Linked DNA regions of Coturnix japonica. Each later gene encodes a partner of the first gene's protein in a complex. Links are inferred from orthologs where the notes say so. Each region holds a gene or a part of one and is shown in the gene's direction. Other genes may lie near its edges.

Region 1 (3,802 bases):
GTACTGCCCTAAACTGTTACTTCGGAGAAACGTGGATATGTAATAAGCTCTCCAAAGTATGTTCATCTGTAGCGATGGCTGGCAGAGCAGCACTGCAGCGCGCACTTCGAGCCTGCCCAATCCCTGCCCGGCAGAACGATGCAGAGCCCATGAGCGAGACCGGAGCCCCCGAGGACCGCCGGCAGGGCCGGGCCCGGGGTGCGGGCATTTCGGCCGTTCTGCCTGGTCTGCCCGCGGGGTTCTCTTCCCCAGCTTTCGCCCAAACGCAGGTGCTTTGCTCAGAGCAGAATTCACGAGAGCAGCGGCACGGGGCGCCTCGGCGGGACTTAGTCCCGTGCGGCGTGACCGAGAGGAGAGGGAGCGGCGGTTCCCCGACGGCTCAGCGGGCCGCCCTCTCGCCGGGCCCGAAGCCGTGGCCTCGCCGCAGAGCGCAGCCCCCGGCCCGAGCCCCGAGCTTCGAGTCCCGGGACGGGCGCCCGAGGTAGCGGAGCCGTTGCTGCGCTCAGCCCCGGCCAAAGCCGAACCGCAGCCCGGAGCCGGGGCGGGTGACGCACGGCAACGCGGTTCCGTGGGCTTGTCTGTGACTGAGGCCCGGGGGAGATGCTCCCCAGCGGCCGCACGGTCTCGGCCGGGCCCGCTCCTCGCAGGGGATGGGCGCAGCCCCTCGGGAGCTCTCGGCCGCCCCGCTGAGCACCGCGCTGGCGCGTCCCGCGGCTTGTCGCGCCTCTGCGTCGGGCTGCGGGAGAGATGCTAAGGTGTGAAGTTACAGCCTGAGCAATAACGCCGTGACATGGACCAAAACTTCCCTGTACGGCTTCATCCCGAAGGGGAACGGCAAAACGTAAGGAGCCCGTAAGCTCCGAGCCTCACTGCCTGCTGGGTCCAGCCCCACAACGCCCTGCACAGAGTGGGAATGACAGACACATTTGTGTGTCTGTGTAAGGCAGGCTCGGGGTCTGCACTCAGTTAAGCAAAGCTCTGCCCGTCGGTGGGTGAGGAAAGTTCCAACTGTGGAGAATATGGCACACGCGATGCACCCCCCCCCGCTCCCTTTCGTTCATCACAAGCGGCTTTAAGCTCGAGCACGGGTCCACTGCTCCGAAATCTGTCCCATCCGATGGGAAAAGCGGTCCCCAGCGCCGCAGACGGTTCCGCGCCTCATTTGCAATCGGAAGCAGTTTTCAGCGCCGACTATTTTCAGCTTTTCATATACACAACGGTGACTGAACTCCCGGGGCAGCACGGGAGGGGGGTCTCGGATGCTCGCAGAGGTGACAATAACGCTCAGCCCACACCGCCCGGTGGGGGCGGCCGGAGCCCGCCGTGCCCGCAGCGTGACCGGGACGGGCCGCCTCGCCCTGCGGGGTCGCCCAGCTCCAGCTGAGACACCGCCGTTAGAGAAACGAGTTATCTGGGATAACGCGGGGAGTGGTGCCGCACGCTGCACCGTGAGCCGAGGAAGGGAAGCGGTTGCTCAAGCGATGGCTCGGCCGGAGCATCGGATTTTGTGCAAACGATGCAACCGGCAGCGATAGATTTCGCAAGAAGTTTTAGGGAAAGGAGACGCAAAGAGACAGAATAGACAGGGCGAGCTCCCGCCCGCTACGTTCAGGCTCTGGGGCAGAGAGGCGGCAGCGGGTCCCGAGGGCCGGGGATCCCCAGACGCCGAGGTTCCCGCTGCCTGTCCCCGCCCGCAGGAGGACAGGAGAGCGCCGGGGATCCCGCGGGAGTCAGAGGGGAGCTGCAGCGGGTGCGCGGCGGTCTGGGGGCCGTCGGGCTGTTCTGGAGCGGGCGGGTTCGGCTGCAGCCCCGGCCCCGCAGCCCCGGCCAACAAGCGGGCGGGGGGCGATCACGCTGTGCGAGCGTGTGCGAGCGTGTGTGTGCGCGCGTGTGTGCGCGGGGGTGTCGCTCGTTTCTCCTCCGCCGTATTGGCTGCTAGAGCCGTGTCGGTGCCCCCCTTCGCCGGAGCCCCCCGCGGCCCCCAGGCTCCGGGAGCGCCTCCCCACGGGTCCGGGGCGAGAGGTCCCGGCTCGGCACCTCCGCACTTGTGGCGGGGGAAAGGGGGAGGAGGAGGAGGAGGGAGGAAGGGAGGAGGGGGCCGGGGGTGGGAACCCTGTCCAGCAGCACCGGCGGCGGCAGAGCGCTCCCGTGCACTGCGCCTCTCCGCATGGATCGGGGCGCCGGGCTACCGCCGCGCTGAGCCCCGGGCGGAGCTGCTGCGGGCCCCCGGGGTCGCTCCTTCCTCTCCGACACCCCCCCGGTCTTCCTCCTCCTCCTCCTCCTCCTCTCCTCTCCGCCCCCGCCGCCTGCAGACCGACAACCGCTCCGCGGCTCTCCCGGCCGCGGGCACCCGGCGGCGCTTCCCGGCGGCCGGGGCCGCTCGGCGCTCCCGCTGCGGCGGGGCAAGGGCTGGCGCGGAGCGGAGGGAGGGAAGAGGAGGAGGAGGAAGAAGAGGCATCGGCCGCCGAGCGCCCCGCGGTCCCGCTAAATCTGTGCTGCCGTGTCCAGGTGCCGGTGCCGCGGACGGACACGGAGCTCCCAGCCCGGCCCGCAGCCGCCTTGTCATGCTGCCCAAAGTGGAGACGGAGGCTCTGGGACTCGCCCGGTCGAATGGGGAACAGGGGCAGATGCCAGAAAACATGCAAGGTAAGGGTCCAGGAACTGCACGGCGCTCCCCCTCCGCGCACGCTCGGCTCCCCACCCTGCAAACCGCCCCCGCGTCCTGCCAAAAAAGTTTAGGGCTGCCGCCCTCGAGCTCCTCCGAATTCGCTCCTTCCCGGTTCGGGCGGGCACCGGCGCCGGATCGTGGCAGAGCCCGGCCGGGAGGCGCGGCCGCGGCGGGCGGGAGCCTTGTCCGGGGGTGCAGACGCTCGCGGGTCGCTGCTCGGGGACACCGCCGTGGGCCGGAACGGACGCGGGCGGCCCATCCCCGCTCCGCCCGAAACTATCGCTAAGTTTACGGCGGAGGAGCGGCACGGAAAAGTCCCGGAGAACAGCCCGAGTGCCAACCCCGGGGTCCGAGGGGACGGCCGCTGCCGGCACCCCACGGGTACAGCGCAGGTGGCAGCAGCCGCGGGGCGAAACTTCGCCAAGACCCCGGCGTGCGGTGCACCGTGCCGGGTCCCTCCGCGGGTGACGGCGGGACGCCCGAGCTGGAAGCGCCTCGACCGGCCGGGGAGGAATCGGTTCCCGCAGCCCCGTGAGCGGACGCCGCCCGCTCCCTCCCCTACATGCCCCGAGCGGCGGGTCCTGCCCCGTGGCTCTTCGGAAGCCGTCCCATGTCGTCCCGGGAGCCCGCAGGGAAGCAGGGGCGGAGTGGGCCGGGGGTTCGGAGGTGCCAGGGGCGGCCCACCCGCCCCTTTCTTCGCCCGCAGAGGAGGCTCCCCGCCAAGCGCTCGGAAAGCCCCCGCTTTCCCACTTTATTTTTTTCTTTCTCCTGCGAGGACAGAGCACTCGGTCCCAGCGCCGGGTCCCGGAGCGGCGGCCGCGGGAGCGGAGAGGGGGCCGGGCCTTTCTCCTCCCCCGTCCGCTGCCGCCCCGCGTCCGCCCCACGCCGCTGGCAGGCGGTGACTCCGGCCGTGCCGAGGCCGCCCCGGAGCCGCTGCCCCGGCCGCGTGTCGGCGGGTTCATGCCCCGGCGCGCAGCACCCGCGGCCCCCAGCCGGGCTCTCCGCGGGGCGTTTCGGGCGGACTACGGTCGCTCCGCCGCCCGCGGCATCCGCGGGGCTACCGGGAGGGAGGCGACGTCCCGAGCGCCGTCGCCGGGCGCCCGGTGCCTTCCGCGACCGCTCGGGAACCGTCCG
Region 2 (4,462 bases), on another chromosome or scaffold:
GGTTGCTATGGAGACGGCTGGGCCTGGGCCTAGGCCTTTCCAGAAGGCTCCATGGGGTCGCCTACATCCGGGTACTTTACCCTTGGCTTTACCTGTATCTCCTCCACAGACACCACACAGTTCAAAGAGCCTCTAATCCAGGCCTAAGCAGCACAAAGAGCCTGTAATCTGCAGTATGGACAGGCTATGCTGGTCCCTGTGGCTGCTGTAGGCCTCATTGCTGGGTTCACTCCATTGCACTGAGAGCTGTGTGCATTAGAGTGAGTGGTCCTTATCCCCATAGGGTTCCTATTGCTCCATTAAATCAATCAGCAGGTGCTGCCGCTTCCCCAGGCTGACTTGTGTTGGCCGACAAATGCAGGTAGATGGGTGTTTTTTTGGTGAAAAGCCATCAGTGTGGCCATCAGTTCCATCCCATTTGTGCACCAAGAGCTGCGTGCCCTTAAATCACAGAATCAATCACAGAATGACCCGGGTTGGAAGGGACCTCAAGGATCATGTAGCTCCAACCCCCTGCCTGGCAGGGCCATAAAACATACACATTTACTAGATCAGGTTGCCCAGGAGACCCCATAGATCCCCATAGAGACCCCATAGACCCCATAGACCCCATAGAGACCCCATAGACCCCATAGATTCCCATAGAGACCCCATAGACCCCATAGACCCCATAGAGACCCCATAGAGACCCCATAGATCAGGTTGCCCAGGGCCCCGTCCAACCTGGCCTTGAACACCTCCAAGGACGGGGCATCCACAACCTCCCTGTGCAGCCTGTTCCAGGGCCTAACCACTCTCCTAGTGAAGAACTTCCCCCTAACATCCAACCTAAATCTTCCCTCTTTTAACTTAAAACCATTTCCCCGTGTCCTGCCAAATCACTTGTTCCCATCCTCACAGGGTTCACCAGGCACCCCCTGTGTGAGGAATTCCTCACAGGCCCCACTGGAATCCATAATTGTGTGCTGTCATTTAACTAATGCTGATCAAAACATACAAATTCCAGAGCAATTCAAGGTAAAAACCTATAAACCTGCCTCTCACCTACCCAGCATTACTCCTTCAGCACAATGGGCTGCTGCCTTTAGGTTTAGTCTTTCAGTTCACCACCTTCCTTAACTGCAACAACACCGATCTCCTGTCAACAAGGTTAGGCAAACAGCTGCTGATAAAATGACTTCCAGGTTGCTCTTTCCAAGGCCATTTGCCATGGGGTCCTCGCTTCAGACGAACACCCTGTGTGTGTATGTGTGTGTGTGTATGTGTGTGTGTGTGTGAACTCCTTGGCAGCGACAGCTGCCAGATAGCACAACCTGATTGCAGCGTGGGGCCTTGGTGCCATGGTACAGCCCGGGTTAATGACTTTGTTTATACTGTTTGGGTAATTGTGATAAGGCTGCCCAACCCGCTGCCCCTGCTGGGGTTTCATTGAGAAAACGGCCATTGACGCCATGCTGAGATCCTGCTGGTTCCAGCCAATCAGTCTGGGGACAGCTGGGGTTGGTGGCTTTTTTTTTTTGTTGTTTTTTTTCTTCTTTAATGAGGACCGCTTAATCACGGAGCGGTCAAGGCTGGGAAGGGGTGTTCCACTTGTGACCGAGCCTTATAAGAGCTTGTTTGAACAGCCATGTGCTGGCAGAGCTGGGAGGACAGGTCACTCCCAGATTGAGACGGGGAGGAAACTTACAGGTCTCTCCCATCTGCGGAGTTTCACAGAGGATCCGGGGCTCCCAGTTCTGCTCTGATGACCAGCAGCATAGACATGGACTGCGAGAGGTGTCAGTGCCAGCATGAAGACAAACACCCAGCCATTCTCTACACCCTCCTCAGCCAGAACCTGAGCCACAGCCCACCTCACCAACGCTGCCTGTGCCACCAGCGCTGGACGGTCTGCCTCCGGACACCCCATATCACCTGCCAAGCTGCATCCGACGTGTTGGTGAAAACCATCAGCTTCATGAAAAACCTCCCTTCCTTCCACCTGCTGCCTCGAGGGGACCAGCTCCTGCTGCTGGACAGCTGCTGGGTCCCCCTCTTCCTCCTGGGGCTGGTCCAGGAGACGGTGACATTTGAGGTGATGGAGACCCCAGCCCCCAGCATGCTTGAGAAGATCCTCCTCGATGGCCAAAGCAAAAGGCAGGAGCCTGAGTGGACTCAGCCCATGCTGGCCGCTGTGCAGTGGCTGCAGTGCAGCCTCAACACCTTCTGGAGCCTGGACTTGAGCCCCAAAGAATACGCCTACCTGAAGGGAGCCATTCTCTTTAATCCTGGTGAGTGTTCAACCCTCCCAGCTCTGCCTGCTGGTGGCAAGAGAAAGCCCTGCATGAGTTAGCATTTAAAAACACTGCTCTTGGCTTGGAGTCGCTCAGAGTTTGGGCAAAAGTGTGTGTGAGAGCAGGGAGAGCTGCTCACATCATTAGCACCAGCAATGCAGTTTACCTCTGGGAAGCAGGGAGGAGGGATACTGAAAATGTAGTGTTTAAAAGCAGAGACCTCCTTACCTTGCAATCAAAGAACCCTGGGTCTTACTCTACAAAGCCCATGTTTGCTTCATTAGCTGTATTTACTCCCTCAAAGCAACAGCCCTGAAATACATGTTGTTAATGGCTCTGAGGTTTTTCTCCAAGATACGGGGAGAGAGATGGGAGAAACCTCGAGCTGTTTTCCAGCCTTCCTCTTCACATCCTTCCCTCCTTTCTCTTGGCAGATGTCCCAGGGCTGACAGCCTCCCTGTACATCGAGAGCCTCCAGCGGGAAGCCGAGCGAGCGCTTCAGGAAGTTGTGCAGATCCTACACCCCAAGGACCAGGACCGCTTTACCCTCATTTTACTCATCACCTCCACCTTGAAATCCATCCCTCCTGCCCTCATCACAGACCTCTTCTTCCGACCCATCATTGGCAACGCAGACATTGTCGAGCTCATCGTGGATATGCTGTATGAAATCACCAGCTGGCAGCCGGCTCCTTCACCACGCGTGGCTCTGTGAGCTGCTGTGCTCTGCCACAGCCCTGGGGGTGCTCAACAACACCTGGCAGGGCAGCAGGGAGGACTGTGGAGCAGGCAGTCAGGCACTCAGCTCCACAGGGCTTTGCGTGTGCCTCTCTCTAGGCTGTAGGGCTCAGAGCATAAAGGAAAGCAGCCTTGATTCAGCATGGCTGCTCCACCTCTGCCAGTCTGTTTTGAGGAATGTGAGTGTGTGTGGCTGGTGGTACTGAGTTTCTAGCAAGCAGGCCAGCCCTGTGACACAGAGCAGACTGAGTTAGAGCCTGCTCCAGGCTTTTTATATCTCAGTGAATCCTCAGTTCAATTAAAATCAATGTGTGTTTTGTTAACTCCATGAGATGAGGTTGGACCTCAACTTGCTGCCCGTGATGGCTCTGTGCTGATAGTGGTATTTAGGGGTGCTGAGTATCTTCGGTGGTATCACTTGTAGAGTACAACCAGGTGCAAGCCGTAAGGAATTAGATCTTTAAGTATCAGCCAGTGTCTGCTGTGCATGAAATCTCACAGACAGCCACCAAGAATCCTCCTCAGACAGCAGGAGGGAGAAGCATCAGATCTTACAGGGCGTGCAGCCAGCTTCATGAACGCCTCCTGCCTCTCATCACATCGCATCTCCTCCCCACGATGCCATGAGCTGCAACAGGATTGCTCACAGATTGGATTACCTAAGAGCAGTGAAACGTACGGCAAATAACGCTGCATGAACACCACTTCATCCTCCCTATACACCTCAATATATATATGGCAATACTTGGAATGGCTCAGGAACACACTGAGCTACAGACACTGAACAAACATCCCTGCCTTGAGTTCCAGCTGGTTCAACATAGTAGGAAAGCTCGCTTCTCCTGCCTGCAGCTTTTGTCACTGATGTCAGTATTTAATGAGCGGACCTTCATTTGATTTGTACATAAGATGCAGTAAATTATTTTTTTAATAAAAACGTGTCACATTTTGGTGATTTTTTGTTATATTTCTGGCATTTTGGACTTGTAGAAATAGCTGTTGGAGGTACAGTGTGGGAAGGACACCTGAATGCAGGGATGGAGCATCATAGGGAATCATAGGGGAGCATTGCAATGCAGCCCCATGAGCTGTGCTGGGCACACACTGCTCTGTGCACTGAAACCTGCAGAGGCAGCACAACTGCAGCCTGTCTGTGCTGCACCTTCCTTCACGCACACAGCCACACCTGGAGGTGCTGATGCAGGAGGTTGGTGCTGACTCACCTGGATGTGCACACACAGCCCTCAGCCCACAGGAGAACAGCCATACAAAGCCTCCTGGCTCCCCACCACCATAAACACACCGTGTTTGAACAGCAGCCTGCTGGGAGAACTGTGTGCTGCCCATCCGTGCCAACACACAGCAGGTCGCTTCCAAGGGGATCTCAGCCTGACAGCCCTTCTCCAAAGGGAAGGTGGGTTGGTGTGAGTCACCCCATGATCCCTGCAGGC

Evidence for each region.
Region 2: the proteins of NR5A2 (region 1) and NR0B2 are in contact, whole or in part, in a crystal structure (PDB 1YUC), measured with the Homo sapiens proteins. The link is inferred for Coturnix japonica from reciprocal best matches to the Homo sapiens genes NR5A2 and NR0B2. Residues at the interface, in NP_995582.1 of Homo sapiens: Phe354, Val357, Arg361, Phe366, Val371, Asp372, Gln374, Met375, Leu378, Gln379, Asn529, Asn530, Leu531, Glu534, Met535; in NP_068804.1 of Homo sapiens: Arg17, Pro18, Ala19, Ile20, Leu21, Tyr22, Leu24, Leu25, Ser26, Ser27, Ser28.

The regions. Positions count from the first base shown.
Region 1 is NC_029523.1:1,557,069-1,560,870, reverse strand, and holds part of NR5A2 (nuclear receptor subfamily 5 group A member 2), read left to right. Parts: intron 1-2,508; coding exon 2,509-2,646; intron 2,647-3,802. UniProt on the Homo sapiens protein: Orphan nuclear receptor that binds DNA as a monomer to the 5'-TCAAGGCCA-3' sequence and controls expression of target genes: regulates key biological processes, such as early embryonic development, cholesterol and bile acid synthesis pathways, as well as liver and pancreas morphogenesis.
Region 2 is NC_029538.1:1,621,863-1,626,324, reverse strand, and holds NR0B2 (nuclear receptor subfamily 0 group B member 2), read left to right. Parts: upstream 1-1,564; 5' UTR 1,565-1,744; coding exon 1,745-2,270; intron 2,271-2,707; coding exon 2,708-2,988; 3' UTR 2,989-3,966; downstream 3,967-4,462. UniProt on the Homo sapiens protein: Transcriptional regulator that acts as a negative regulator of receptor-dependent signaling pathways. Specifically inhibits transactivation of the nuclear receptor with which it interacts.